Cricetulus griseus: one gene and its partners. The protein of the gene in region 6 purifies or fractionates together with the protein of the main gene of each other region. This does not show direct contact. Links are inferred from orthologs where the notes say so. Each region holds a gene or a part of one and is shown on either strand. Other genes may lie near its edges. The genes, in order: U2surp, Cdc40, Sf3b5, Sf3b4, Sf3a2, Snrpa1 and Srrm2.

Region 1 (4,023 bases), on a different chromosome or scaffold from region 6:
AATCTAGGGAAGAAGATCCAGGAGTGAGAAGAGGAGGAGGAGAGGATGCCAGGGGCCAGTCATGGTGTAAGAAGGAAGGAAAGATGTATAGAATAAATAAAGGTAAAAAGTCCAGAGGCAAAACGTAGTTAAAGAGAAATGGGATAATCTAAGTTAGAAAAACTGGCTAGAAACAGGCTAAGCTAAGGCTGGGCATTCATTAGTAAGAAAAAGTCTCTGTGCATTTATTTGGGAGCTGAATGGCAGGCCCCCAAAGAGTAAAGAAACCAACTACACCTTGGTTTGTGTTTCTTTTTTATTTTAACCCCTCTTCCCTGTAAAAAAGCCTTTTGCCTGTTACTGACTTTGAGTTAGGAAATAAAGAGCATTCCTCATTGAGTGGGTATGTACCTCAAAACCATAGTCTGCTTGGAGTAACCCCAGCTTTTGTTTGCATTTGGTACTTTAAAACAGTAACTCTTCTAAAGACTTGGCTATAAATTAACATATTTTAAATTTATAAGTAACATTAAAATATGTATGTAAAGACAAAATAATCTTTTTGTTTCTTTTTACAGCCTCTTCTAGAAAACAAGCTTAAAGCATTCAGCATTGGAAAAATGAGCACAGCGAAGCGAACTTTAAGTAAGAAGGAGCAAGAGGAACTAAAGAAAAAGGTAATGTTTAAGTATATTTTAGGTTATGCTTTGAAATGAATGTGTAAGCAGTAGAGACCATGTTTCTGAAGAATTTGACTTCTTACGTGTTTGCAACTCCACGTCTGAGTCAAGTCTTTAACATAAGGAAGCTTCTCTTCCTTTCCCCTGATCTATAGCTCTATGTGATGATCAGTTATTTTGTCAAAGTGTGTGTGTTTGTGTGTGCATGTACTCTACTGTACCCTTTTCCTTTTTATCTTCCTTTTTAGATGGATGATAGTATGCTATAGAGTAAGAGTACTTTCCTCCATTTACTCTTTTTAACCAAATGTTATATCTTTATGAGTACTTGTAGGATAGAGAAATCCTACATTTTTATAGCTTTGTAGGTTTGTAATAGTTTGTTCATTTAAAATCCTATTGAGGGCCGGACGTTGGTGGCACACGCCTTTAATCCCAGCAGAGGGAGGTGGATCTCTGTGAGTTGAGACCAGCCTGGTCTCTCCAGAGCGAGTGCCAGGATAGGCTCCAAAGCTACACAGAGAAACCCTGTCTGGAAAAACAAAAACAAACAAACAAAAAATCCTATTGAGGGATTTTTGGTTTTGCTCTTCGGACATTATGTTACAAATGCTTTTTATGAATATGTGCATTTTTTTTTCCTAGTTTGCCTTTGGGGACATATTCCTGAAAGGGGAGATAGTTGGAGTGAATACTAATAAAAGTGATGACCCCACCCCCATACACGTGCATGTAGTGAATCTTGCTGAAGGAATCTTTGCCAATTTGTAGTATGAAAAATAATACCTCAGTGTAGTTTTGAATTTGCAGATCTTTCAGTGGGAATACAGTTGAGTACCTCGCTCCCCTGCTTTATTTCTTTTTATTTTTCTTTTGGTTTTATTCTTGTAAAAATTATTGTTATACTCAGTGCTCAGTCTTTCCCCATGATTTCTTGCCTTTTCTTTTCTTTTTTCTTTCTTTTTTTCTTTTCCATTTCTGGCTTATAGAAGGATTTTCCTCTAGGATCTGCATTCTTAGAAGAATCCCAATGAATTCCTAGAATTGTTTCCATTTTTAAGAAAATTTAATCTTCATGCAGTTTTTCCTGGCATATAATACAAATAATTGATGTCATTTTATCTCTTTTCAAGTAGTTTTTTATGTCAGTTTCATTTATGGGAAAGTTTGTGTATCTCCCTCTGACACTAGATACTCCTTTTATTGGATGTATTTCTTTTCTAATTGTTCCATTTTCCTGTTTGATTTGGGTTTTTGAGGTAGAGTCTCTTTATGTAGCTCAGGCTGGTCTGGAACTCTGTCTTCCTGCCTTCATTTCTGAAGTGATAGACATGTGCCATCATTCTCAGCTTGGTATTCTTACTCATATATTTTGGGGACGTTTAGATGATGTATAGTTGAGAATGCCAGTTTTTTTAGCTTTTTTTTTTTTTTTTTAATGCCATGTTAGAAATAGGTACTGTAGTTTTGCTTCTATTGTATCTTTGGCTTTGGCTATTTGAGAATGAAATTTTTATTTATGATGAATTAAGTCATAGTGCCTTGGAGAACAACTTTTTTTTTTTAAATTTATTTATTTATCATGTATACAGTGCATGCCAGAAGAGGGCACCAGATCCCATTACAGACGGTTGTGAGCCACCATGTGGTTGTTGGGAATTGAACTCAGGACCTCTGGAAAAACAGTCAGTCCTCTTAACCTCTGAGCCATCATCTCTCCAGCCCCTTGGAGAACTTCTTAAATAGTAATAGACTACTATATTTTCATACAGTCATTTGTCTTACAGTTTGGCTCTTGAATTGTTTTGAAATGATTTACTTGTTTACCCATATGTTGTAAATTATTTTCTGCGTCTTTAAATTTCTAATAAAGGAGAAAATGCTTTTTGTTTTAATTATTTAGCATATGATTATTGGTAATGTCTAATGTCTACCAAGTAGTAGATATTAGAATAACTTGGGAAGGAAGAAGCTTTGTGTATACAATTTCTTTTCTTTTTTTCTTTTTTATGTGTATGGATGTTTTGCCTGTCTGTATGTGTTTGTGACCTCTGTATACCTGGTCCCAGAGAGGTCAAAAGAGGGAGTTGATCCCCAAGGACCCAGGTTACAGATGGTTGTGAGCTGCCATGTGGATGCTGGGACCTGGATCCTCATGAAGAAGAGCCAGCTCTTAGCTGCTGAGCTGTCTCTCTGCATAGAGGCATTTGTCTTTATTCCCACCATTTGGTAGGCGGAAGTAGGCAGATTTCTCTGTGCAAGGCTAGTGTAGTCTACATAGTGAATTCAGGTCTGCCTGGGCTACATAGTGAAATCCTGTCTCAAAAAACAAAAACAAGTCAAGCCATACCTACATAGCATTTCTCACGTCACTAATCTTTCGTTATGTATTTAGGAGGATGAAAAGGCAGCTGCTGAAATTTATGAGGAATTTCTTGCTGCTTTTGAAGGAAGTGATGGTAATAAAGTGAAAACATTTGTTCGAGGCGGGGTTGTTAATGCAGCTAAAGGTAAGTGCAGAAATATGGATTTGAACAAACCTTGGATGACGCAGCAACACGTTAATTATGGAAGACATTTGACTTTGAGCTTCACATTTCTTTTCTATTAGCTCCCTCTAGTGGTTAGACTGAGTAGCAAAATAAATGACCAAATATGGAGTAATGAAGAGACATTGAATGTGATTTTCAGGACTGTATGAAGGAGTTAATAAGAAAAATACTTAGTACCAAGCTTTTAAAAAAAAGCAGATTATGTTGCAGAAATTTTAATGTTACATAGTTTTGCTATATAGTGATTGAATTGTGACTTTTTAGGGTTGAGTGGTAATAATTAAATTTAATTTTATATCCAAATCTTAATACTAAAACTGTCTTCTTAAATAGAAATAACAAAAACCAAAATTATATGAAGTTAGTTTTACAACTTAGTATTTTAAATTTCAGATGAACATGAAACAGATGAAAAAAGAGGTAAAATCTATAAGCCATCTTCAAGATTTGCAGATCAAAAAAATCCTCCAAATCAGTCGTCCAATGAAAGGCCACCCTCTCTTCTTGTGATTGAAACGAAAAAACCTGTAAGTAATTATTAAATAATTGAGTGTTTATTTTAGAAGCTAGTATTGACATTAGTACTTTGAGTGTACCCTTACAAGAAATTTTTTATGGTTTATAAGTCTTGGAGTAGGTGTTGAGTTTTGACGTTGTCTAACTCAGTAATTCATGTAGATGAGCGATGGTAGATTATGTTAGGATATGGCAATAGTACTTACTCGTTGAACATTTGTGACTGTATTCATATTATGTATTGTAAGTCAAAAGTCTTGTTATAAATTTAAGGTAATAGTATCCTTTTAAACAGT
Region 2 (4,513 bases), on a different chromosome or scaffold from region 6:
AGTAGTATTCAAATACCTATTCTAGCTAGGTATTAATCAATTAGTCGGTCACAGGGCAGATCGTGAATGTTCGGATCGGATGAGCTCTCTTTTCACCATTATTCTAGTTCATCATCCGCAAGTGCAAGAGAAGGTGTCGGAGTACGGAAGCTAGGGGGCATGCTGTAGCTAGGGGAAAAGAAAAATGGGAAAGGTGCAATGGATGCTGCATAGTTGAATAATTATCTGGGTGGCACAATGGGCGAGTCCTGCCGACATCAGAGCCCGGCGAGCATCTCCCTAACTCTGCCCGAGGAACCTCCCGATTCCCAGGCATCAGAAGAGACGGCAACCGCTTCTCTTCCACACGGGAAAATAAAGGGATACCCGCACTCGCTTTACCGCTTTACCGCTGTCGTGCACGGGGAGCCGCGGCGCGAAGACGCGCGGCCAGAGCTCGCTTTTCAGAGCGGCAGGCACACAGGGCGAGCCGGGGCTCCGCGGTGGGCTGCAGCCTTGGCCGGCGCCGAGGCACGAGGGCGAAGCGGCGGCGGGGTGGGAGCCGCGCGCCCCGGACCGCACGGCACCGCAGGTGAGAGCCGCCGCCGCCGCCGCCGCTGCACCCGGAGCAGCCTCGGGCTGGTCCCCACAGCCGAGACCCGCGCCCTCGTCCTCCACGCGCAGCCCGGGCTGCTAGGCGGCGGGCGCGGGGGAGCCCGGGATGGGGGCGGGGGCGGGCGGCGCGCCCATCATCGCCGCCGCCGCGGCCGCAGACCCGGGCTCCCACACACGCCCCTCTCGGCTCCGGCCGATGGAGAGCAGTTCCCCTGCCAGGACCCGGGGAAGAAAGGGGACAAAATCCTGACAGACTCGTGCTCACCGAGAAACCGTGGGGGGCTCGCGCCTTACCCCTTCTTCATGCTTCGGCGGCGGTCGCCGGTCCCGCTCCGCGCTGGGACTTCACCGAGAGCCCCTCGGGAGCGCCGGGCCGCGGGGTGGAAGCCGCGCCGGGCACTGGCTGGGGCGCCGGGCCGCCGGGAATGCCGCCGGGGGCGCCACTGATGGCCCGAGCCGCGGTGCGCGCGACGCGCGAGCGAACAACACCGCGAGCCGCCGCTGCCCTGCGCCGCCCCCTCCCCGCGCGACGCTCCACAACCGGGCGCGGGGACCCGCGCCTGCAGCAGGGGGAGCCGCGGGGCGCTCTCCGCCTCGCCCCACAACCTTCCCCCGGAGCTGCGCCAGGCGGGCCCCAGGTCTCCGAACTGAAGATTCGCACTGTCCCCTTGAGTCCCGCAGGGCGTAGGGTCGCAGGGCGGGAGACTCAGCCTCCGCTCACGTACTCGTCCGTGGGCAAGAGGACGGAGCTTCCCCCTGTCCTGAGGCTCCGTGGTATTGCCCAATCCGCACTTTGGGGGAGGGGGCCGCAGAGAACGATGCTGGGCTAGGGAATGAGGGAAGATGATATCCAATTGAATGAACCATCCTTTGGGGGCGGGGTCGAAGGCCGACCCCTCAGCCCGGCTCCGCCTCCTCCCTCCAAACTACAATTCCCATGGTGCCTCGCGCTTCCCACCGCTCTGCACGCCGGGAGTGGAGGACCTCGAGGCTTCAAAGGTATCTCAGAACTGTGGGGCTTTAATCAACGAGGTCCTGAAAGTTATAAGTAGTTGTAATTCCTTGTGCTTATCTAGATTAATGTTTGCGAGTCTCAGATACTGATGCAGTCAGAGTAATAATCATTATATTTTTTTCAGGAAGTTATAAATGATTTTTTGTTAAAGAAGGTAAATAAAGTGTTCCTTGGCAATCTGTCAGGACCTGGGAGTCGCTGCTTCTTCCGCCCTGGCCTGACCACAGCAGAGAGGATCTGTTGCAGTCATGTCCGCTGCGATTGCAGCTCTAGCTGCTTCGTATGGCTCGGGTTCAGGGTCCGAATCGGACTCGGACAGTGAGGGCAGTCGGTGTCCGCTGCCAGCCGCCGACTCTCTCATGCACCTGACCAAATCGCCTTCAGCCAAGCCCTCTCTGACAGTGGCGGTAGATTCGGCTCCGGAGGTGGCGGTTAAGGTAAGTGTTTTGGTCACTGATGGGTGCGGGAATTGGTTTCAGATCCCAAACCGCTCGTCTCCGGTGAGGTGCTGAGAAGTAAATTACTAGCGTTTACGCGTCGTCCCACATCTTCCTCCACTACCCCTCTGCTGTCTCCATCGCATAAAAGTGGTCCAAGAGGGGAAGAAAGTTTGAATTCTAGGCTAGGACGTAGTCTTATTAGAGCAGAAGTTTAGAACATAGCTAAAAGCGCATCAGGACTTCCTAACTAGAATTTGTGCCCTCACCAGAAGCGAGCCGTGGCCAGGCACTGTTTTGTTTTTAAGAAACTAGTCTCGAATCCTGGCTTCACTACTTGCAAATTATACAACTTCCTCTTGTATAATGGAGATAGTTGTTTAAAAACTTACCTATACCGGGGGGTTATTGTAAAGATTAAGTGAAATTATATAGTAAAGTTTATATAACACAGAGCCTAATAATCTAGTAAGAGGGCAATACATGCTAGCTATTTGTGATTGTATATGTTAATACAACGAGTGGGAAAGGGGCATAAGCTTTAAGAAGTAGCATGCATGGACCCAATGAAGGAAGGTGATAAAGGAAAAAACCCAGCTATGTAGTTCTTTATTAAGCACGTATCATTTTCCAGAAACAACAGGACTGAAAGCCACAGAGGCCAACAAAACCGAACATACTGGGAGCATTAGTGCATACTGGAATCAATTAGATGTGGACAAAAATGTAGTTACAGATTGGATTGAACACTGGGAGGGGGAAATAACCATGGTAAAGAATAAGGTAAGGCAGGATGGTGGTGGTGCAAGCCTCCCAGCACTCAGGAGACAGAGGCAGACAGATCTCTGTGAGTTCAAGGCCAGCCTGGTCTACAGAGCCAGTTCCAGGATAAAGCTACACAGAGAAACCCTGTTTCAGGAAGGAAAAATAAAGAAGAAGGTAGCAGTGTGATTTTTGTAGAATGCTCAGATCCTCTCTGAGGGGAGATAAAAAGTCAGTTCAAAGAAATCGAAGCCCTGTAAACTAAGGCAAGAGTTTGCAAGCTTAGGTGACTTGCAAACCTAGGAAGGCAGAGATTTGGTGTGTCTGGGGCTGATGTCTTAAACTCAGTGAGAGCATCGTCAATCAGTAGTTAGCTCCATGTGGGTGTTCAAAATGTGGAGAGGAATCTGTACAAAACTTCCCTCGGAAGATGGGAGGAGCGAGGGAGGTCTTGTTTGTGTCTTAAGTCTTTCACAAGTTTTGACGGGCCATTTATGAAACTTTTTTTTTTTTTTAAATAAGGACATCTGGCATGAAAGAATGCTGGGAATTCTATCTTTAGAACAAAACAAAGCTCTCCCAACTGAGGACATCTCACTAGCCTCCTCAGTCTGTTCCGTAGAAAACTAAGCTTTTGGTTCTGCATTCTTCCCATCTTTGTCACAGCCCCCCCCCCCCCAAGCTCAGTGCAGTCTAGCCTTAGCTTCTTGATTAACAACTTCATGGGAATGATGTCTTAGGCCTTGCATTAATTGGTCCTTCCATCTGACTTGAATCTCTGCATCAAATAACATTGTTAAAGGCATTGATGGCATATACCTTTAATCCTAGCATTTGGGAGGCAGAGGAAGGTGGATCACTGTGAGTTCGAGACCAGCCTGGTCTACAAGAGCTAGTTCCAGGACAGCCTCCAAAGCCACAGAGATTTTTTTTTTCACATATATTTTTCACATATATTTTCCTGTCTTGGAAAAAAACAAACAAACAAAAATCAAAAAAAAAAAAAAAAGAATTTCTCTATCTCAATTCATTTTTTCCCTGCAGCTTCCACTGAGTATTCTGCAGCCTCTGGATTCCCTCATCTTCTGCCAGCCCCTTCAGCTTTAGTGCCTCCTAGGTCTAGGCCCTTATTTCAAGTTCCATCCCCTCAGAGGTGACTACTGTGAAGAAGTTAACATAGGCATGAAATGAGTCAAGATTCCAGTGTTATTCAGATCTACCTCTAGCACTACACACATGGCCACTTGGATATATTACTTAAGAGCTAAGCCAGTTCTTATTCATCTTTCAAATAGGTTTAGCTACTTATTTTCAGAAATTCGAAGCAGTTTTAACTGTATCAAATAATACATGCTGATTAAATGCCAACTACCCTGATAAACTGTCCTAAACTCCTTGCCAGCTTAAGTATTAATAAAAAAAAAAAAAATCTCTCCGGGTGGTAGTGGCACACGCCTTTAATCCTAGCACTTGCGGGGCAGAGGCAGGCAGATCACTGTGAGTTCAAGGCCAGCCTGGTCTACAGAGTGAGTTCCAGAACAGCCTCTTAAGCCACAGAGAAACCCTGTCTCAACCCCCCCTCCCCAAAAAAAAAAACTCATCCAGGATGGTTCTTAGGCCCCTTTTGTATAGTGCACTGAAAACTTCAGTTTCTTTCTTCAGAGTCCACTTTTGTATTCCCATTTTGTTTTTGATCCATGGCCCA
Region 3 (2,971 bases), on a different chromosome or scaffold from region 6:
GATTACCTCACATTCTTAAGTCCTTTTTATTCTTATACTTATTTATGTTTATTTATCTATTTTTGTTTTTGGTTTTTCGAGGCAGGGTTTCTGGCTGTTCTGGAACTCACTTTGTAGACCTCTTCAGACCTCAATCTCATAGAGATCCACCTGCCTGGGCCTCCTGAGCGCTGGGATTAAAGGTGTGTGCCACCACTGCCTGAGGCATTCTTAATGGCACTGGAATTGCACTAATTTTTGATTTATTTCTTACTAACAGAATTTTCATGCAGATTCTACTTGTCTTAGTTGAAGTTTCTCTTGCTGTGACAGAACACTATAATTAAAAGCAACTCAGGGATGAAAGATTTATTTCATTTACTCTTCCGTATCACAGTTCATCATCTAAGGTAGGCAGGGCAGGAACCTGAAGGCAGGAGCCAATGCAGAGGCCATGGAGGGGTGCTGCTTAATGGCTTACTCTTCGTGGCTTTCTCAGTCTGTTTTCTTATTCAATTCAGGACTACCAGCCCAGGGGTGTCCCCACTGTAATAGGTTGGGCCCTCCCCTATTATCAGTCTCTTTGACTGAGATTGCTCTTTGTCCATTCATCAGATTTTTCTTTTAAAGAATACGATCTCCATCAAGCTATATAATATCCTCAAAGGATATCAGAAAAGAAGTACAGTATCTTTTTCTCAAGTAGTTTATACCTTTGTGAGGAGATACATAACCTCTAAGTTGAACATAAGGTGTAACCAGGCAGAAAAACAGAAGGAGAGAGTACTTGTCTTGAGACACAACTGACTTCCAGAAAATGATTGTAAGCAGCCTTAAAGTTAGGAGGTTGTTTGGTTGGAGGGCTCGGGCCCCTGGGTGGTGTGAGGAGTTGGAGCCTGGATTTTGATGTGGAAGACACCTGGTGTTGACACTCATCACCAAGCATTTAGGACCCAAAGAACTTTTCCCACTACCCAGATCCTAAGGGACAAAGCTGGGACCAAGGGCGGTCCGTGTGAGCTTCTAGGTACAAGAGATAGTTTTCCTGGTCACTTGTAGTCGTAATCGTTGGACACCATCCTACATTAGTCAGGCAAAAAAAAAAAAGAAGAAAAAAAAGGAAGGAAGGAAGGAAGGAAAGGAGGGAGGGAGGGAGGAGAAAGAAAGAAAGAAAGAAAGAAAGAAAGAAAGAAAGAAAGAAAGAAAGAAAGAAAGAAAGAAAGAAAGAAAGAAAGAAAGAAAGAAAGAAAGAAAGAAAGAGAGAGAGAGAGAGAAAGAAAAAGAAAACAAAAAACCAAACCAAAAGAAAAAAACACGCCAAATTCTTTGGACTACAAATCCCAGAATGCAACGCCGGAGTTAGAACGTGATCACCCAAGAGCCACTCAGCAGACCATCATGCAACGCTCTCCAAGTAGGCGGGCTCGCTGAGGGGACGGCCCAATGTTTCTTAGGCAACTCCAATGCCGCGGCAGGATTCACTTCCGCTTCCGCCTGGGAGAAGAGCGTCTGCGCAGGCGCCACAGTGGCGTCTTTCTCCCGCGCCTACACAGATAGAAGTTCCGTGTCGGGCCGGCAGCGGCGGCGGCGGCGTCTCTCAGGTTTGAACGCGGAGCGGGTAGCGTCGGGTCTGCGGCCTGATCTGGAAGCCTAGAGCGGAGCGGCGAGATGACGGACCGGTACACCATCCACAGCCAGCTGGAGCATCTGCAGTCCAAGTACATCGGTACGGGCCACGCCGACACCACCAAGTGGGAATGGCTTGTGAACCAGCACCGGGACTCCTACTGCTCCTACATGGGTCACTTCGACCTCCTCAACTACTTCGCCATCGCCGAGAACGAGAGCAAGGCCCGCGTGCGCTTCAACCTGATGGAGAAGATGCTGCAGCCCAGCGGGCCGCCGGCGGACAAGCCCGAGGAGAACTGAGGCGAGCGCTTCCCAGGCTCCCCCGCCGGCCAGCGGTGGGCCGGTCCTCCTTGCTCGGGCTTCTTCATCGTCTGTCACGCCTGGCCTGCTTACCTGTGGACGATTCCGAACAAGTCACCGAGAGACTGTCGGGACCCCCGGGAACTGTGCGGGAGGAGCGACCCTAGACCCGGCAAGCGAGGGAGAAGACGCCACGGGAGTGATGACGCGTTTCTAATGAGTCTGCCTTTCAGTAGTTGGTTGTCCTTCTTGCCATGTTTATAAAGTTTAGGATTTGTCCTATCTTTTGGTGTGGATTGCTGTGTTCCTTGGGTGGGGTCTGGGGAGGGTGCTGTGGACCAAGGTCTCAAGATGTTGCACGTTGCATCTGTTTTTCTTGAGAGTTAGTCTGTGTGTCTTCAGAAATGAAGAACGGATTTTTTTTTTTCATTCAGTGTTCACCAGAGCGTTTTCCAAAGGTTTGGGGGCATACATTATGCCAATTTGGAGAAAGGCTAAAATAGACCAGGGCTAGATGATGCAGGGAGATTGAGGAAGCTTGAAGAATTCGCAATTTTAAATACTATGCTTGTAATGCTAAGATATTGCGATGATGACATTTGAGAAAAGATTTTACGGAATCCAGAGAAAAACCGTGCAGAGCATGGGAAGTTGCTTACCATCTAATAGGGCATTCGTTGGTGTGTTTTAAGTTACTGAAGGAACACCAAAAAAGCAATGAGTCGCTGGGAGTGGCACACACCTCTAATCCCAGCACCCAGGAGGCAGAGGCTGAAGGATTTCTTGAGTTCAAGATCACATGAAAAAACCGGTAAGAGCCATTCACTGAGCGTTGTGGTACACGCCTTTAATCCTAGCACTCCAGTACTCTGTAGGCAGAGGCAGGGGATCTTGAGTTTGAGGCCAGTCTGCAGGTGGAGTTTCAGGACTGCCAGGGCTACACAGAGAAATCCTGTCTGGCTGCCTGCACCCCCCCCCCCCCAAGCAGTATGGCAGGAAGGGATGAGCAATAGAGCACAGGACAGCAACAGGAAGGAGAGGCTGGTAGGCCAATGCAAGGACT
Region 4 (4,613 bases), on a different chromosome or scaffold from region 6:
AGTTCCAGGACAGCTGCACAGAGAAACCCTGTCTTGAAAGAACAAAATGAGAGAGAGAGAGAGAGAGAGAGAGAGAGAGAGAGAGAGAGAGAGAGAGAGAGAGAGAGAGAGACAGGGAGCCAGGAGAAAGGGGGCAGGGGTGGAGGAAGAAAGAGAGAGAGACCTTTGTGCCCTTGTTTTCCCCTCCCCAGATGGGCTCCTCGGCTCTTACAATCTCTGGCCTCCAGGATGAACTCTCTTGTCTTCAGGAACTATTAAGAAAACTGACACCAAGAATATCTCCTGAGGATCACTGCAAGAAGAGAGATCCAAATACCATCCTCTCTCAGATCCGTTGAGACTGCTAGCATTCTCGAAGGCAGGGCAGAGGGAATGTGGAGGGAGTTCTGCTCATGTTTCTTTGTATCTGACCTCAGTGTTTCAAGCTTTCACATTCCAGCCCATAAAGGAGCTCACTCCGTGAGTGAGTTTCTGTAGCAGACATGGAGCTACCAACCTCCAGCTATTTTTGTTTCTCTGGAATAAGAAACAAAACCACTTCAGAACGTTTCCTTTTTTTCTCTGGCAATTCCATGCCGTTTAGATGACAAACTGTCAAAACTGTGAGATCAGAGACACTTCATCAGTTCCAACAAGATGCCCCAGAGACTTCATTCTCAACCCCTCACACTGCTTTGAAATCCAGTTTCTTAGTCTTCTGTGGGAATGAGGGAAATAAGGGAGACACCCTGTCCTCCCACTGTATATTTTTGTAGTGGTATTTCTATTTAAGGACTTCATTAAAGCACAGTATTTCTACACATTGCTGGTATTGTTTCTTGTGTTGAATGAAGATCTCGGTAAAGTGGTTGGGGGAGGGTATGCACTGAGAGAAAAGCACCCAGATTATTGATACAGAAATTAAGGACCCAGTTCGAGGCCAGCCTGGTCTACAAGAGCGAGTTCCAGGACAGCCTCCAAAGCCACAGGGAAACCCTGTCTCGAGAAACAAAACAAATAGATAAAAAAGAAGTTAAGGACCCAAAACAGGAGGGGCTATTCCGACGAAATTTGGAGAAAGAAGCACCAACCCCTTTTTTTTTTTTTTTTTTTTTTTTTGAGACAGGGTTTCTCTGTGTAGCCCTGGCTGTCCTGGCCCGGGAGGAAGGCTCTCTGAGTGTCTCTTCTGTGGGAGGGGAGGGATGCACGGTGCTGCCGAGTGCTCCCGAGGCTGAGACTGACCGTGAACACACGCGGCACCGTGCCTCAGATGACCCCACGAATAGTGGGGCTCAGACACTTCCGTCTGCACTGAGGTAACAGGCTGCGTCCCGAGGCAGCCGGCCCGCCCCTCCCTCCCCCCAGCACGCTTCTCTGCGTCACAGAACATACAAGGCTGAGATTAGGGCTTAAATTTGGGCTGGGGAGCAGCGGGACTGCCTGACAGGCGAGAGCCGCGTCGTCAAGAGGGGCCTGAGCGCCTCGGCGCCAGCCGGGCGTCGTGAGAGCTCCACCACAGCGTCTTTCCAGACACGCGTCAGACGCCTAAGATGGCCGCGGCCACTTCCGGCTCCTCCCCTGCCGCCCGCCCCGCCCAATGGGAGCCTTGGCCCGGAAGTGGAAGTCGTAACAGGTCAGAGGGCGGTGCTGCCGCTTAGAGACGGCGGGAGCCTCTTCGCCATGGCTGCCGGGCCCATCTCCGAACGGAATCAGGGTAATTGGGGGAGAAGAGCCCAAGGTGGGCCCAGGGAGGTGGAGGGCAGATGAGTGCTAGAAGCGTTAGCGCCAGCGTGGGAAACTAGGTTTCCCCGGGAAGGCCCGCGTCTGGGGGCTGGGCCTGGGGGCCGGGTTGAGGCCGAGGCCTGTGAGGGTGATGCCTCTGGATCCGGTTCCCGTAGGCACTCCCGCTGCTACCAAGCGCATCATTGAAACTCCACCGGGAAGTACACAATCCGCAAGAACGCCACATTAGACTTGAGCGGGTTTTTTTATACTAGGCAGGCAAAGGGTGATCTCAGGGTTTTAGTTACTTTTTTTTTAAATTTCTGTTTTCCTTTTAACTCGTGACCTCGTCCTTACCTTCTGCTTTCTTGCTTTAGATGCCACGGTGTACGTGGGCGGTCTAGACGAGAAAGTGAGCGAACCACTGCTGTGGGAGCTCTTTCTCCAGGCAGGGCCGGTGGTCAACACCCACATGCCAAAGGATAGAGTCACTGGCCAGCACCAAGGTGAGTATTTACGGCAAGAAATGACTTTACTTTGGGTTAGCGGCCCCTGAAGCATCTCAACACTAGTCACAGCTATTTTGGAATGGTTTCTTTCTCTAAGCTTCAGTTGGCAGTTTGTTTCAGGAGTAGTCTCTTAGCTTTAGTTTGAAGTTGGGATTCTTCCAACTTGTTCTTTGTTTGGAGGCTGGTGAGTTAGTGTGTCGTTTTGAATCTCTTCATCTGAGTAGTCTTTTCTTCAATTCCCCAGGCTATGGCTTCGTTGAATTCTTGAGTGAGGAAGATGCTGACTATGCTATTAAAATTATGAACATGATCAAACTCTATGGGAAGCCCATACGGGTGAACAAGGCTTCAGCTCACAACAAAAACCTGGATGTAGGGGCCAACATTTTCATTGGGAACCTGGACCCAGAAATCGATGAGAAGCTGCTTTATGATACTTTCAGCGCCTTTGGGGTCATCTTACAAACCCCCAAGATTATGCGGGACCCTGACACAGGCAACTCTAAGGGTTATGCCTTCATTAATTTTGCCTCCTTTGATGCTTCGGATGCAGCAATTGAGGCCATGAATGGGCAGTACCTGTGTAACAGACCCATCACTGTGTCTTACGCCTTCAAGAAGGACTCTAAAGGCGAGCGCCATGGCTCAGCAGCTGAACGACTTCTGGCAGCCCAGAACCCGCTGTCCCAGGCTGACCGTCCTCACCAGCTGTTCGCAGATGCACCCCCTCCACCCTCTGCCCCCAATCCTGTGGTTTCATCCCTGGGTTCTGGGCTTCCTCCACCAGGTAAAGCTTTTAGTTCAAACTACACCAGTGAGAGGCCCTTGGGAGGGAGGGTCAGAAGGCAGAAGAAACCCTGAGGGAGTAAGCTGTTAACTCAGCGGGCAGCGAGAAAGGGATGAGGAGTGCTGGTGGAAGGGATGCAGATGTTGGGTTTCTTTGGGAGACTGGAGTTTAGTGTGCTGGAAGGAAGCTAGAGCTCTGTAAGACAGTCTTTCTTTCTTCACAAGATAGACTCTCGTTTCTTGTATAGGCATGCCTCCTCCTGGCTCCTTCCCACCTCCAGTGCCGCCACCTGGAGCCCTCCCTCCTGGGATACCCCCAGCCATGCCCCCACCACCTATGCCACCTGGGGCTGGAGGACATGGCCCCCCAGCAGCAGGAACTCCAGGAGCTGGGCATCCTGGTCACGGACACTCACATCCTCACCCATTCCCACCAGGTGGGATGCCCCATCCAGGTAAGTGGTCTGCTGGGAAACGGAGATGAGCTTGTGAGAGTGATTCTGTCACTGCTCTTTGTCTTGGGTGGAAATAGTCTAGAGTCTCCCTTTCCTTCAGAAAATACTTCTGTGTGTACTTCAGCTCCCTCCCGTCTTGTCTCTGGTTTTTCCTTTTTCTGCAGAATAGCCTGTTCTTACTGTTTTTACTCTCAGCCTCTCCTCTGATTCCCAGGAAGGAGCTCAGTTGCCAGATCTAGGCGACATTTTTGCTTATTTTTTTTTGTTGTTGTTTTGTTTTAGGGATAAGGTCTCTCTGTGTAGGATCCTGACTGTCCTGCAACTCATTCTGTAGACCAGGCTGGCCCTGAACTCAGAGATCTGCCTGCCTCTGTCTCCCAAGTGCTGGGTTTAAAGGTGGCACTACCACTGGGCAGCCGTTTCTGCTTTTTGTTTTTGTTTTTCGAGACAGGGTTTCTCTGTGTAGTTTTGGAGCCTATCCTGGCACTGGCTCTGTAGACCAGGCTGGCCTCGAGCTCACAGAGATCCTCCTGCCTTTGCCTCCCGAGTGCTGGGATTAAAGGCGTGCACCACCAACGCCTGGCCTGTTTCTGCTTCTTAACCACTACTATACACATGACGAGCTATGCATGTATTAAACTGTTTCCTCTATGTGACTTATCAACCTCAGCAACCTGGGTCAGCCCCCTTTTTTGTCTGTGTAGATTTTGTGCTTTGTTCTTCTTCCAGTGTTTATTTGTAGTGTTAAATGTGCAGGTACTGATTCCTTCTGTCTCTAGTCCATGGTTCTTGACAGGCTAGACAAGGCTGCTGCTCAACCCACAGTTCACTTTTCTCCTTCCAGCATCTCCTTCTACAGCCCTTGTTTGTAGCAGCTAAGTTCACAACTCTGGGAGTTTGTATACTGTCATCCACTTGCAAGTTTAACACATGTTTCTGCCAGTTGCCACAAACCAGCACCTTACTCTGTTGTACATATACTGACTGTGGTAATCTCCTATCTCTTTGACTCTAATTTTCTCTGTCTTTGATCTACTTTTATTCATAGGAATTTCCTTAAAATTCTTTTGTTCCCTATTAACTTACTCAAATTGCCATAACACTCAGTACTGAGGTTTCTCCTGGTGGCCTAGTTATTGGTATTATCATGTTTAGTGTTTGG
Region 5 (4,105 bases), on a different chromosome or scaffold from region 6:
CAAACTTTGCCTGACACTGCATAACAATGAGGTGCGTGACCCCTGTCCCCAGAGCTGAGGGCTTCCTTGGGGTTGGTCTGCTTCAGTTGAATTCTTTTTTTTAATCAGCTATGCTGGGTAAACAGCCACTGGGCTAGACTATATCTCTGTCCAGTTCTTGAGACAGTCTCTGTATAGCTCTTATGAGGCCAGGACCTCCTGGCCCTCTTGCTCTGCCTCCTGCCTGACCCTGCACTGAAGGTGGCCTGGAGACCAGCTAATCCTTTTGCCCTTTTCTTTTACTGGCCTTGATGTCAAGACAAGAGCCAGCTGTTTGATCTGCGAATGCCCCACAGACAAGTGATGGGTGCCTACCAGCCACAGGGAAGGGATGTAACTGGTTCTTTTTCTCTGGGGTTCTTTTTTTTTTTTTTCCTCGAGACAGGGTTTCTCTGTGGCTTTGGAGGCTGTCCTGGAACTAGCTCTTGTAGACCAGGCTGGTCTCGAACTCACAGAGATCCGCCTGCCTCTGCCCCCCCGAGTGCTGGGATTAAAGGCGTGTGCCACCAATGCCCGTCTGGGGTTCATTCTTAATCCAGGAAGTTACCTCCCTACCCTCTCACTGGATGACCAGACCAATCAGCAGTAAATGGGATGCATTTGACTTTGTTGACAATGGAGTCAGGTTGACACAGCTGGGCAGGATGCCCAGGAGTTGTAGCCTAGGCCTCCCACCCCTTGTTGGGAGCTCCCCAGCACTATAGACCTTCGGTGTGTATGCTGGTCCTGACCATAGAACTTCTCAGGGAGGCAAAGAGAGTATCATGCATGTCTCCTCAGTGTAGCCACAGACATTGTGCATCCCCTGCAGGCTCCCATGCTGGACGCTGTTAAGAGTTGCCCTGCCTGTCCTGCCCTCCCCACCTTTAGTGATGTGTCTCTTTTCTCTTTGCAGGGGAGCTACCTGGCTCACACCCAAGGGAAGAAACATCAGACTAACTTGTGAGCCCTCACTTGGTGTGGCTTGGTGGGGAGGGAGGGAAAGGCCCACTGCAGAGCTTATGGCTAAGGAGCAAGGACAGTCGGGGAGACTGGTTGGTATACTCCAGGGCTGAGCCCTCATCCTGTCCGTGAGTTCCAAGGCCAGGGGGTTCTGACAACTGGGCTCTTGGCCTTGGCGGCTGGTAGAGGGACACCTGTGTTTCCTGTTTGTAGGGCTCGGCGAGCTGCCAAGGAGGCCAAGGAAGCCCCTGCACAGCCAGCACCCGAGAAGGTCAAGGTGGAGGTGAAGAAGTTTGTGAAGATTGGCCGCCCTGGCTACAAAGGTGTGTGGGTGTGGGTGTGTGGCGGCCTGCCCACGAGACAAATGGTTGTATCCCTGACCCAGGATACACTGGTCTCTAGGACACTCAGCTGCTGCTTCCTCTGTCCTCAGCAACCGACTGTTGGCAGATAAGCACCCATCCCCCACTAGAAACTTCCAGAAGAGGAAAGGGAGGCAGGTTGTCTGCAGTCAGTGCTCCCAGAGCCCCTCAGCAGGGGCCTTGAGTGACCTGGCCTATCCAAAATGCCAGTCATGTGGCCAACAGGGAGCCAAGTGCCCCAAGAGTCACCATTGACAGTCAGGGTACTGGAAAGCTGTGACATAGTGTTGCAGAGGGCTGTCCACACTGTCCCTACATACAGTGCTGGGTGGGTTGCCCTCACTTGGATCCTAGCTAGGTGGCCAAGGAGCAGAGCGGCCAGGCCTGGTAAGGGGAAACCTGTTCTGGTAAGCACCCATGACACATGACAGCCCCGTCCCCTGTGTGTTGCAGTGACTAAGCAGAGGGACACAGAGATGGGCCAGCAGAGCCTGCTGTTCCAGGTGAGGTGAGGCCAGTGAGGGGTGGGCCAGGCAACCAGGTGGTAGTGCTAAGGTTTTTGTGCTCGTCCCCCAGATTGACTATCCTGAGATTGCTGAGGGCATCATGCCACGCCACCGCTTCATGTCTGCCTATGAGCAGAGGATAGAGCCCCCAGACCGCCGCTGGCAGTACCTACTCATGGCTGCTGAGCCCTATGAGACCATTGCCTTCAAGGTAGTGACCCTGAGGACTGGAGGAGAAAGATAAATTCAGGTTTGTCTGTTTGTATTGGTCCCAGGGTGCAGCCTCTGCTTCCCTCCCCCAGGTGCCAAGCCGGGAGATTGACAAGGCTGAGGGCAAATTCTGGACCCACTGGAACCGAGAGACCAAGCAGGTAAGGTGTGGCAAGACTTGCCTGGGTACTCCCCTACCCCCACCCCCCCTGCTCCTCCAGCCTCTGACCCTCCTCCCCTGCAGTTTTTTCTTCAGTTCCACTTTAAAATGGAAAAGCCACCGGCCCCACCCAGTCTCCCAGCTGGACCCCCAGGCGTCAAGCGGCCCCCACCCCCACTCATGAATGGCCTGCCTCCTCGCCCTCCACTGCCGGATGCCTTGCCCCCACCTCCGCCTGGTGGCCTGCCTTTGCCCCCTATGCCCCCCACAGGGCCTACTCCCGCTGGGCCCCCTGGACCTCCCCAGATGCCTCCACCAGCTCCTGGGGTCCATCCACCAGCCCCAGTAGTCCATCCACCCACATCTGGGGTCCATCCTCCAGCCCCTGGGGTACACCCCTCAGCCCCTGGGGTACACCCACAAACATCTGGGGTGCACCCACCAGCCCCTGGGGTGCACCCACCAGCCCCTGGAGTGCACCCACCAGCCCCTGGGGTGCACCCTCCAGCCCCTGGGGTGCACCCACCAGCCCCTGGAGTGCACCCACCAGCCCCAGGTGTGCACCCACCAGCTCCAGGTGTGCACCCACCAGCTCCAGGTGTGCACCCACCAGCTCCAGGGGTCCACCCTCCCCCATCAGCTGGAGTTCATCCTCAGGCTCCAGGAGTACATCCACCTACTCCTGCAGTTCACCCTCAGGCCCCTGGGGTGCACCCCCCAGCTCCTGGTATCCACCCTCAGGCTCCTGGGGTGCATCCCCAGCCTCCTCCTGGGGTCCATCCTGCCACCCCTGTGGTCCACCCTCAGCCTCCAGGGGTTCACCCCTCAAATCCTGGTGTGCACCCAGCTCCTATGCCCCCCATGCTAAGGCCCCCACTCCCATCAGATGGCCCTGGGAGCATGCCTCCTCCTCCCCCAGGCAACTGAACACTGGCCCCAGCATCCCTTGCTGCCTGTGTGTGGCCTTTTCCTGGCCAGTCCTTGGAAAAGTTTTCTGTTTTGTCCTGTCCTGAGCCCATTAAACAGCCTCCCCCATGTCTCCCTGTCTGCAGTGTGTGTCTGTGGTGGGGGGTATGGGCGGGTGCTGTGTGCCTTCATTGAAGGCATGATGACCTGTGAGTCCTCCAGGTGGACTCCCTAGGCAGATGGGAACTACCCAAGGACAGTTCTAGCCTCTGCAGTTGTGGGCCTGGCTGTGAGGACAGAAAACCCTTTGAGAAAGCCACCTCCCACCTGCTGTGCACACAGGGCACCAGGCACTGTCCCCCAAGGTCACCTCCACCTCCGGAGTTGATAGGGGTGTCCCTCCCAAGCACTCTGGCTCAGCCAAACATATAAGCAGGGCCTCCCAGCCCTTGTTGCTCTACCATGCAGGGACCACCCCTCTCTCCACTAGTGCTGCTGCTGGTGACCATGGGCACTGTGTTACAGGCCAAGACCCTCAAAGAAGACCTCAAAAGAGCCACCAGCACCAGGGGCCTCATCTTCTTTGAAGATGGGATCTGGCCTCTCAGCAGTCCCCCAGAGCCCTTGTGCCTGGTGACACTGAGAGGCTTGAGGAACACAAGCAGAGCCCCGCTAAGGGTGGTAGGGGGCCTGGACAGTTATGAGCATTCCTTCCTGGAGGCTGTACAGGAGTCTCACTGGGGACCCCAAGACCTGGCCACCTTCGGAGTCTGCAGTCCTGACTCCCAGGCTATCCTGCCAGCCCTGCAGCGCCTTGGGGCCTGGCTGGGGGAGACTGGGGGGCAGCAGTTGCTGGTCTTGCATCTGGCTGAAGGTACGTGATGGACCCTGTTCAGCCCCCCTGTGTCTTGGGCCTCTTACTACTACCCGAGGCTCCTCCCAAGGTCTGGGGAGAGGCTGTGAGAAATCCTGTTGCTTGG
Region 6 (4,483 bases):
AGGTGGAGGCAGGGAGGTGAGATGTTCAAAGTCATCCCCTGACTTAGCCATTACAGCTCTTTCAGAGGACCTGAGTTCATTTCCAGCAACCACCTGTAACTCCAATCTCAGAGAATTTAGCATCTCTGAAGTCTGTGGGTATCTTCACCCATGTGCACAAAACCACACAGGTAATTTTAAAAAAAGATTTAAAGAATGCTTTTCTGCTTTTGCAGAGGACTGGAGTTCAGCCTGTAATACACATGTCCACAGGATTACAACAGCTAGTTCCAGGGAATCTCAGGCCATAAGCCTCCCCTGGCACCCACAAACAAGTGGCATATACACTAATTAATAAGCTAAGATAAAAAATAAGCGCACTAATTCGTAGAATTGGGTTCCTGGCCGTCTTTGGGGACAGAGGCCAAGGCTCTGCAGGTGTGTGTGTTCACTCTGTTGGCATTCATCAAATGTCAGGTTTCTGATGTGTGTACGCCCCTGCTCTTCATATGAATTTTGTTGCTGTTGTTGGTTTTTTTCAAGCCGGGTTTTCTCTGCATAGCCCTGGAACTCGCTCTGTAGATCAGAATGACCTGGTCTCATCTCACAGATCTGGCCTCCCAAATGCTGGGATTAAAGGCGTTCCCCGCCACGCCCAGTTTACAATATGAATATCATTTAAGCTTTATTTTATTTTTATGTTTGCGATTGCCGGTGTCCGAGGAGGTTAGAAATGGGCGACGAATCCCTGGGGCTGTAGTTACAAGCAGTTGTGAGGTGCACAACTGGGTACTGAAATGAGACTCCTTTTGCAAAAGTCTTTTGCAAAAGCAGCAAGTGCCCCTAACCTCTATGCCATCTCTCTGGCTAGCCCCTCGACATCAATACTTAAATGTCTAGACGCCGCAAGTCCACCCTGAGGCTTTAAGGTGACCATACTAGCTCGGATGTTGCCCATCTTAAGGCAGTCCAGCCGAATGGCCCAGCCTTGTCTCTGCTGGACCGCAAATCTTAGAAACCTGAATCCCTGAAGCTTTGGCGGAGTGTCCGCCCCCTGTTGGACAATCCCAAATACCCCAGCCTCGAGGTTCACTGAAGTGAGAGTGCCTCTCTCGTGTTCTTATCTTTTGGACACAAATATCTGGAATCTGGGCTCGCCACACTCCAGGAACGCACCAGCCAAGAAGAACCAAGAAGCAAAGACGACGATCGCAACGCCCGGCGGTGCCTTCGATCGATTGCTTTAGCCTGGTGGTCGAGGTGAGCGCCGCTCCGATTGGTTTTGTCTGGCAGCGCGGCGCGGTGCACCCTGGGACACGGCACTGGCGGGAGGCGCAGGCCGGTGGCCGAGGTGAGGGGACTCGGCGGCGGCAGGATGGTGAAGCTGACGGCGGAGCTGATCGAGCAGGCGGCGCAGTACACCAATGCTGTGCGGGACCGCGAGCTGGATCTTCGCGGTGAGTTAGGGGGATCGCGGGCTGTGTCCGGGCTCGGCGCGAGGCCGGGAGGAGCGGGCCCCGCCGCGTGCGCGGAGGCCGGAGCCTGGCCCGGGGGCCTCCCGCCCGGGTTTAGGGTACCTCCTCCGATCGCCGGTCCCTCAGGACCCTTTGGAGCCGTCTGTTACCCGCTCCCGCTAACAGACACGGCTTCTCCGTTCCTTCCCGGGTCCGTATTCGTTAGGCTTTGCCCGGCATGCTCAGCAGCCTGAACTGTTTGAGGGCCAGGAAAATAGAAAATGGTATCTTCCGGACCGCGACCGGCTGGTTTTTAGCAAATGCGTTAATATGACACGTGAGGGTAGATTAGATATAAGTCAAAGTTATCTTAATTATACAATAATTCCATTTTGGGTCTGCTCATTTGTTTTTTGAGACAGGGTCTCCTGTACTCAGAGCTGGCTTCAAACCGCTGTGTAGTTAGGGACGTTCTCGAACTTCCGGCCCTCTTGCCTCCACTTCCCGGCGCTGGGTTTAAACGTGTGCCCCATGTTTATATGGTGCTGCGGATGAACCCAGGATTTTGTTCTTGATAAACAAGCACTCGCCCCACAGAACCAGGTCCCCAGCCCCTGATAATTCACTTTTATAAGAAGGTGTTTTCTAGCTTGATCTGTTTGACCAAGGCTTATAGTCATCACTCCCATGTGAGGGGTGGTGAACACTAACCTGTTGAGTAGAGCTTGGTTTAAAAAAACAAAAACAAAACACAGCATTAGCTGGGCAGCGGTGGCACACGCCCGGCACTCGGAAGGCAGTGGCAGGCGGATCTCTGAGTTCGAGGCCAGCCTAGTCTCCTGTGTCGAATAAAACAAGAAAATGACAATAATAACAAAATATAGCATTGAAAGTGCAGTTATCTACTTTTCAGGAGATGGCTTTGAAAGGGGTTAGGATTATATAACTGTGTCATGAGGCAACCACAGTCTCGGGGACTATACTCTGCCATTTGCTAAAATGCCTTGCTGACCTATAGAAAATCCTAGTGCTTTTGTTAGACATTAGCTTTCTCAGACAAAAGTCCATTTCAGAGGTATCTGAACCCTTTTACTGTCTTGGCACACAGTTTTGGTCTCTGCTGCATCTCTGAAGACCATGCAGTCTTGATAAAGCTTATTTTATTGCGCTCTTTCACAACTGAGTGAAAGTTGTGTACTAAGTTTCTCTTCTTCCTTTGGCACCTAGCTCGATGGTTATGCCCATTAGACAATCAAGGGGATGTTCACAGTGTGGTTTGTGGTTGTATAGACACCATTTTCAGCTCTGAATTGGAGCTGGTGGAGAAGAGAGTGAGTCAGGATAGCATGAGGATATACTGCTGAGTTATGTGAATGGTTTAGAAGGCTGGTCACCAGTGTCCCAGCAAGACTTGAGCATTAACAGTAAGCAGTGTTAACTTGACATAGAGCCTGACACTCTTAAGAACTTTGAACAGTGTAAATACCTTGTAGATGTTCTCATAAACAGTGGACACCAATATTACTAAGTATACGCCTGTGTTCTTGTTCTTGCCTTCAACCTCCTCTTCAAGTTTACTGCATGACCACACGCTTCGAGGCAGTAAGGACCCTGTAACTCATTTGTCACTTATCTTCAGTATTTTTGTACAGAGTGTGACATGGCACCCGTGCCGGTTTAATACTTCTTGAATGAGTACTTTGAGTCTAATTACAATCAGATGCTCCTACTGTTTTCAGGACCTTTCATTTATATTAATATTTGCTGTATGTATTTTTCCCCTCTACAGGATATAAAATCCCTGTCATTGAAAATTTAGGTGCTACCTTAGACCAGTTTGATGCTATTGATTTTTCTGATAATGAGATCAGGAAACTGGATGGTTTTCCTTTATTGAGAAGACTGAAAACATTATTAGTGAACAACAACAGAATTTGGTGAGTGTCTGCTAGTGAGAATACTTTTCTACCTTGAAAAGATGTTACAATGTACCCTGAAGAAAGACATGATTTGTTTTTAGTTTTCATTTTATGTATATTAGTGTTTGGCCTGCAAGTGTGTCTGCACTATCTGTATACCATTGTGGTGCCTTTGGAGGCCAGAAGAGGGTGTGAGTTCCCTGGAGCTGGAATTACAGACAGTTGTGAGCTCTCATGTGGGTACTAGGAATAGAATCTGGGTCCTCCGGAAGAGCAGCCAGTGCTCCAGCCTCTCCATGTCTCTTCTTAAAGGGAGGAATGAATCGAGCACTTTTTCTAAGAGATTGGGAGACTAACGTGGGCATTGGTCTGACCTTACTTGCTATCTTCAGAGATCTTTAGTATTCGTAGTTGATACTAAACTTTGAATTTAAATTTAAAACATGTTGCTCTGTATACATTTCAGATTCTAGAGCAATTACCAACAGCATCATAATAAAAATGATTTATAAAAGTCAGGTGTAGTGGTGCCCACCTTTAATCCTAACAGTTGGAAGGCTGAGGCAGTCCAGCCTTGTCTCCACAGCAAGTTACAACTGATGCTACAGAGTGAGACCCTGTCTCAATAACATCCTTTTTGTTTGTTTGTTTTTCAAGACAGGTTTTTCTCTGTGTAACTTTGGAGCCTGTCTTGGAACTCACTTGGTAGACCAGGCTGGCCTTGAACTCACAGAGATCCTCCTCCCTCTCCTTGCCAAGTGCTGGAATTGAATATGTGCACTACCACCTGGCTGTTTATCAGCTTCATATAAAAATTGAATTAATATAGTTATTAAGGAAGGTTTCTCGTACCTGGTACTGGTGTTTCTGTTAGGGTCAGTGCCTCTTGTGGGAATTATTGTCAGGGGACCGGAATTGCTGAAGACATAGCTTTTATTAAGGAAAGTTTCTAGGGGCTGGAGTCATGGCTCAGTGGTTAAGCCTACTGGCGGCTCCTTTTCCAGTTCAGATGAAGTGGGTTCTTCTCCTTCCCAGACCAGTGTGGCAGTTCACAATTCTAGTTCCAGGGAATTCAAGGCCCTTTTCTGGCTTCTACAGGCACCAAGCACACAATCAGTATGCAGACATAAG
Region 7 (2,921 bases), on a different chromosome or scaffold from region 6:
CCTCTGTTGATCCCTTGGTGAGGGCTGGGGCGAGGGCTGGTGCCGCTCCACAGGTGAGTAACTGAGGGATCGGGAATCCCGAAGGGAGTCTATTGGCTTTCGAGGGCTGCGTGACCTAGGGGGCAGAGTAGACCTCTATAGCACCACATCCTCCCAAACCCACCAGCCAAGCATTCAGGACCACCCACCCAGGTCCTGACCACCAAACCTCACACCACACAGGGCCAGCCTCAGACCCACCTTTGTCCGCACTCACCCATCCGCCCGCACACCATCCACCGAGTGCCCCCAGTGGACAGGGCACAGGGTGCAGCGGGGGATGCAAAGATAAAATTTGAGTCCCTGCCCTTGGAGTTTTGTTTGGTAGTGAAGGAGGTCAACAATGAAGGCACACATGCCCCCTACATAGGAAACAGGCCAGTGGGGATGGATATGCATGGGCCTGGGAATCCCGAGCAAGGATGGGGACCTGGGCAGGGCAGGGAAATGGCAAGGCAGTCTTCTCGGAGGTGCTGTTTGAGTGCAGTCTTGCAGAACGAGTTCACCAGGCAGACAAGGAAATCCCAGGCAGAAGGAACAGCATGTCCAAAGGCATGGGGCTCTCCTTAGACTGCAAGGCGCTGGGTATGGCTGGAGCACAGGGCATGTGTGGGGGCGGGCAGGAGGAGCACAGGGTGGGCAAGGGCAGCTGGTGAAGAGCCTCACACGCCATTCCCGCAGAGGTGGCACTTTATCCTGCAGGCCACAGGGCGTCCCGGAAGGATTTGTGGAGTGAAGGGAAGTAACCAGATGTGCGTTTTAGAAAGATCCCTCTGGCTACGTGTGGAAGAGAATGGCGTGGAGGCAGGGAGACAGGGAGGAGGCTGTGGACAGAGTCGGGAGAAGATGACGGTGGCCAGACCAGAGCCCTGCAGCAGCAATGGGGAGACTTAGAGCTAGAATCTCTGAGACCAGGCTGCTTGTCAGGGGAGGGGAGAGGGAAGAAGAATCCTATAACTTCCCAGTTCTGGCCTGGACCCTCAGTTGAATAGTGCAGCCTTGACCAGAACACAACAACACTGTGGGAGGATGGGAGGAGTGTCGGACTCCTCCCGTACAACCAGACGCAGACTTCCACACTAGGCACCCCAGCAGGAACCTCACCCAGGGTCCCTTTTCTGGAGAGCTCACCCCCAACCCCCTTTCCATAACAGGCAAGGAAGCACTCACCTCCTCTCGCCAGGGGGTGGCTTCTTGGGGCTTGCAGGTTTGGGTAAGGCCTGAGGGCCAGGCTTAGCAGGGGAAGGGGAGGAGGAAGAGGAGGAAGAAGAGGAAGAGGAGGAAGAAGAGGAAGAGGAGGAAGAGGAAGAAGAGGAGGAGGATGAAGAGGAAGAAGAGGAGGAGGAAGAGGAGCTGGAACTAGAGCTGCTAGAGCGCCTCTTCCGTTTGGCTGGGGTTGGCTCCTGAGGACGTCCTTCTCGAACAGCCTCCTTTGGGGCTGGGACGGGGCTGGGGACCCTGTGAGAGAAGAAAAGTGTCACAAGGAGACAAGAGGCCCCAGCCCCAACCCTACCTTCCTTGGCCTGGAGGAACGGCAGTGGGGGAGGGGTGCCTGAGAAAGGCCCTGGGAACACACGAAGGCAGGCCAGTAAGCACTTCTCTGCAGCAGTGGCACAGAGCTGACCAAACCTCTGCTAACACAAGCAACAGGCTGGGGCCCGAAGCACAAGGGATCAAGGTTAAACCTCAAGAATGTCCCTGATGAAGGAATAAGGCCCCTGGACTCAGATGTGGAAGCTGAAGCTGGGTGGTCTCCTTCCTTGGAGAGCCGCAGCTTGGGAAGGCCCCTGTGAGTGCAGGTTGGCTGGGGAGGGGCCGTCCTGCCTGGAGGCAGGGAGAGGGATGGGATGACCTCTGAAGATCCTTCCAGCCCAGGGAGTTCCTCTTGAGGTCTAACTGCCATCCCTCCTGCTGTAAAATTAAGTCCATTTCCTCTAGTTCTGTCCTCTGTAGAGATGGAAAACTTATCATTATCCTCTGGAGAATTAACCTTCGGAGACTGTTATCTGTCCCATTCCTCCCCACAAAGCCCCCACCCCAGCAGTCTTTCTACTCCCAACTTGAAGGTCAAGGTCCCCCACACTTTTTCAAAATGTCAAGTACTTGTGACAAGATTTCTCCCTCCCTCCCAACTCCCCCACCCATTGTAAATACCTTCCCCCTAGATTCCTTAACTCCCTCACCTTTTCAGTGCCACCTCAGGTTGAGCAGGAAGGCTGGAGCCCTCAGAGTCGCTAGAACTGGAGCCAGAGGAAGAGGATGATGATGATGATGAAGATGAGGAGGAGGAGGAGCTAGATGATGATGAAGAGGAGGAAGAGCTCCGACGTTCCTTTGTTGGTTGCAGAGCAGCCAGTGAAGAAGGCTGCTGGGCCCCAGTAGAGGCTGGTGGTTCCCCACCTTCAGCATGGGGCAGCCCTGGGGCAGGGCCAGAAAGCATGCCATTGTGGTCACTAGCAGAGGATGTGGACTTTGCTACAGTCCCAGATGAAAGGGACTGAGACCCAGCTACAGGAGTGGTCTGGGCAATTGAACGAGATTGGTCTGAAAAAGCAGATGGCACAGGGGACCGAGGCCTATCCTGTGCTGGAGGGAGAAGAGATTGTGAAGGAGCCTGGACCATTCTTGAAGCAGGGGAAGAAGCCCGCTCAGAGGTCATTCTAGACTGGCTGGGGGCAGATGGTGGTGTTCTGGACCTGGCTCGGTCAAGCAATAAAGGTGAGGTTCTGCCACTGACACGCTCATAAGCAGAAAGGGGCACCCTGGGACTGGTGAGATTTGCACCAGACAATGCTGGAGCCATCCTGGCACTGGAGAGATTTGAGGGAGCCAAGGCTGCAGGGGTTCTAGAGCCAGCAATATTCACAGGAGCTGTGCCATGT

The links.
Region 1: the proteins of Snrpa1 (region 6) and U2surp purify together in Homo sapiens (affinity purification with mass spectrometry; 5 studies listed by BioGRID and IntAct, with this or other methods). This does not show direct contact. The link is inferred for Cricetulus griseus from reciprocal best matches to the Homo sapiens genes SNRPA1 and U2SURP.
Region 2: the proteins of Snrpa1 (region 6) and Cdc40 purify together in Homo sapiens (affinity purification with mass spectrometry; 3 studies listed by BioGRID and IntAct, counting the BioPlex papers as one, with this or other methods). This does not show direct contact. The link is inferred for Cricetulus griseus from reciprocal best matches to the Homo sapiens genes SNRPA1 and CDC40.
Region 3: the proteins of Snrpa1 (region 6) and Sf3b5 purify together in Homo sapiens (affinity purification with mass spectrometry; 5 studies listed by BioGRID and IntAct, counting the BioPlex papers as one, with this or other methods). This does not show direct contact. The link is inferred for Cricetulus griseus from reciprocal best matches to the Homo sapiens genes SNRPA1 and SF3B5.
Region 4: the proteins of Snrpa1 (region 6) and Sf3b4 purify together in Homo sapiens (affinity purification with mass spectrometry; 3 studies listed by BioGRID and IntAct, counting the BioPlex papers as one, with this or other methods). This does not show direct contact. The link is inferred for Cricetulus griseus from reciprocal best matches to the Homo sapiens genes SNRPA1 and SF3B4.
Region 5: the proteins of Snrpa1 (region 6) and Sf3a2 purify together in Homo sapiens (affinity purification with mass spectrometry; 8 studies listed by BioGRID and IntAct, counting the BioPlex papers as one, with this or other methods). This does not show direct contact. The link is inferred for Cricetulus griseus from reciprocal best matches to the Homo sapiens genes SNRPA1 and SF3A2.
Region 7: the proteins of Snrpa1 (region 6) and Srrm2 fractionate together in Homo sapiens (co-fractionation; 3 studies listed by BioGRID, with this or other methods). This does not show direct contact. The link is inferred for Cricetulus griseus from reciprocal best matches to the Homo sapiens genes SNRPA1 and SRRM2.

What each region holds. Positions count from the first base shown.
Region 1 is NC_048597.1:204,121,427-204,125,449, reverse strand, and holds part of U2surp (U2 snRNP-associated SURP motif-containing protein), read left to right. Parts: intron 1-557; coding exon 558-656; intron 657-3,054; coding exon 3,055-3,169; intron 3,170-3,604; coding exon 3,605-3,738; intron 3,739-4,023.
Region 2 is NC_048595.1:263,393,032-263,397,544, reverse strand, and holds the start of Cdc40 (pre-mRNA-processing factor 17), read left to right. Parts: upstream 1-1,627; 5' UTR 1,628-1,857; coding exon 1,858-2,046; intron 2,047-4,513. UniProt on the Homo sapiens protein: Required for pre-mRNA splicing as component of the activated spliceosome. Plays an important role in embryonic brain development; this function does not require proline isomerization.
Region 3 is NC_048595.1:275,868,133-275,871,103, reverse strand, and holds Sf3b5 (splicing factor 3B subunit 5), read left to right. Parts: upstream 1-1,498; 5' UTR 1,499-1,647; coding exon 1,648-1,908; 3' UTR 1,909-2,192; downstream 2,193-2,971. UniProt on the Homo sapiens protein: Component of the 17S U2 SnRNP complex of the spliceosome, a large ribonucleoprotein complex that removes introns from transcribed pre-mRNAs.
Region 4 is NW_023276806.1:60,350,618-60,355,230, reverse strand, and holds the start of Sf3b4 (splicing factor 3B subunit 4), read left to right. Parts: upstream 1-1,535; 5' UTR 1,536-1,659; coding exon 1,660-1,693; intron 1,694-2,078; coding exon 2,079-2,207; intron 2,208-2,454; coding exon 2,455-2,997; intron 2,998-3,244; coding exon 3,245-3,451; intron 3,452-4,613. UniProt on the Homo sapiens protein: Component of the 17S U2 SnRNP complex of the spliceosome, a large ribonucleoprotein complex that removes introns from transcribed pre-mRNAs.
Region 5 is NC_048598.1:101,584,375-101,588,479, forward strand, and holds the end of Sf3a2 (splicing factor 3A subunit 2), read left to right. Parts: coding exon 1-31; intron 32-934; coding exon 935-981; intron 982-1,194; coding exon 1,195-1,304; intron 1,305-1,796; coding exon 1,797-1,846; intron 1,847-1,919; coding exon 1,920-2,060; intron 2,061-2,151; coding exon 2,152-2,220; intron 2,221-2,303; coding exon 2,304-3,146; 3' UTR 3,147-3,258; downstream 3,259-4,105. Other genes in the region: Amh (muellerian-inhibiting factor), read left to right, coding at 3,588-3,999. UniProt on the Homo sapiens protein: Component of the 17S U2 SnRNP complex of the spliceosome, a large ribonucleoprotein complex that removes introns from transcribed pre-mRNAs.
Region 6 is NC_048596.1:131,213,466-131,217,948, reverse strand, and holds the start of Snrpa1 (U2 small nuclear ribonucleoprotein A'), read left to right. Parts: upstream 1-1,277; 5' UTR 1,278-1,354; coding exon 1,355-1,436; intron 1,437-3,222; coding exon 3,223-3,370; intron 3,371-4,483. UniProt on the Homo sapiens protein: Involved in pre-mRNA splicing as component of the spliceosome. Associated with sn-RNP U2, where it contributes to the binding of stem loop IV of U2 snRNA.
Region 7 is NC_048600.1:43,336,957-43,339,877, reverse strand, and holds part of Srrm2 (serine/arginine repetitive matrix protein 2), read right to left. Parts: coding exon 2,223-2,921; intron 1,498-2,222; coding exon 1,210-1,497; intron 116-1,209; coding exon 2-115; intron 1-1. UniProt on the Homo sapiens protein: Required for pre-mRNA splicing as component of the spliceosome. As a component of the minor spliceosome, involved in the splicing of U12-type introns in pre-mRNAs.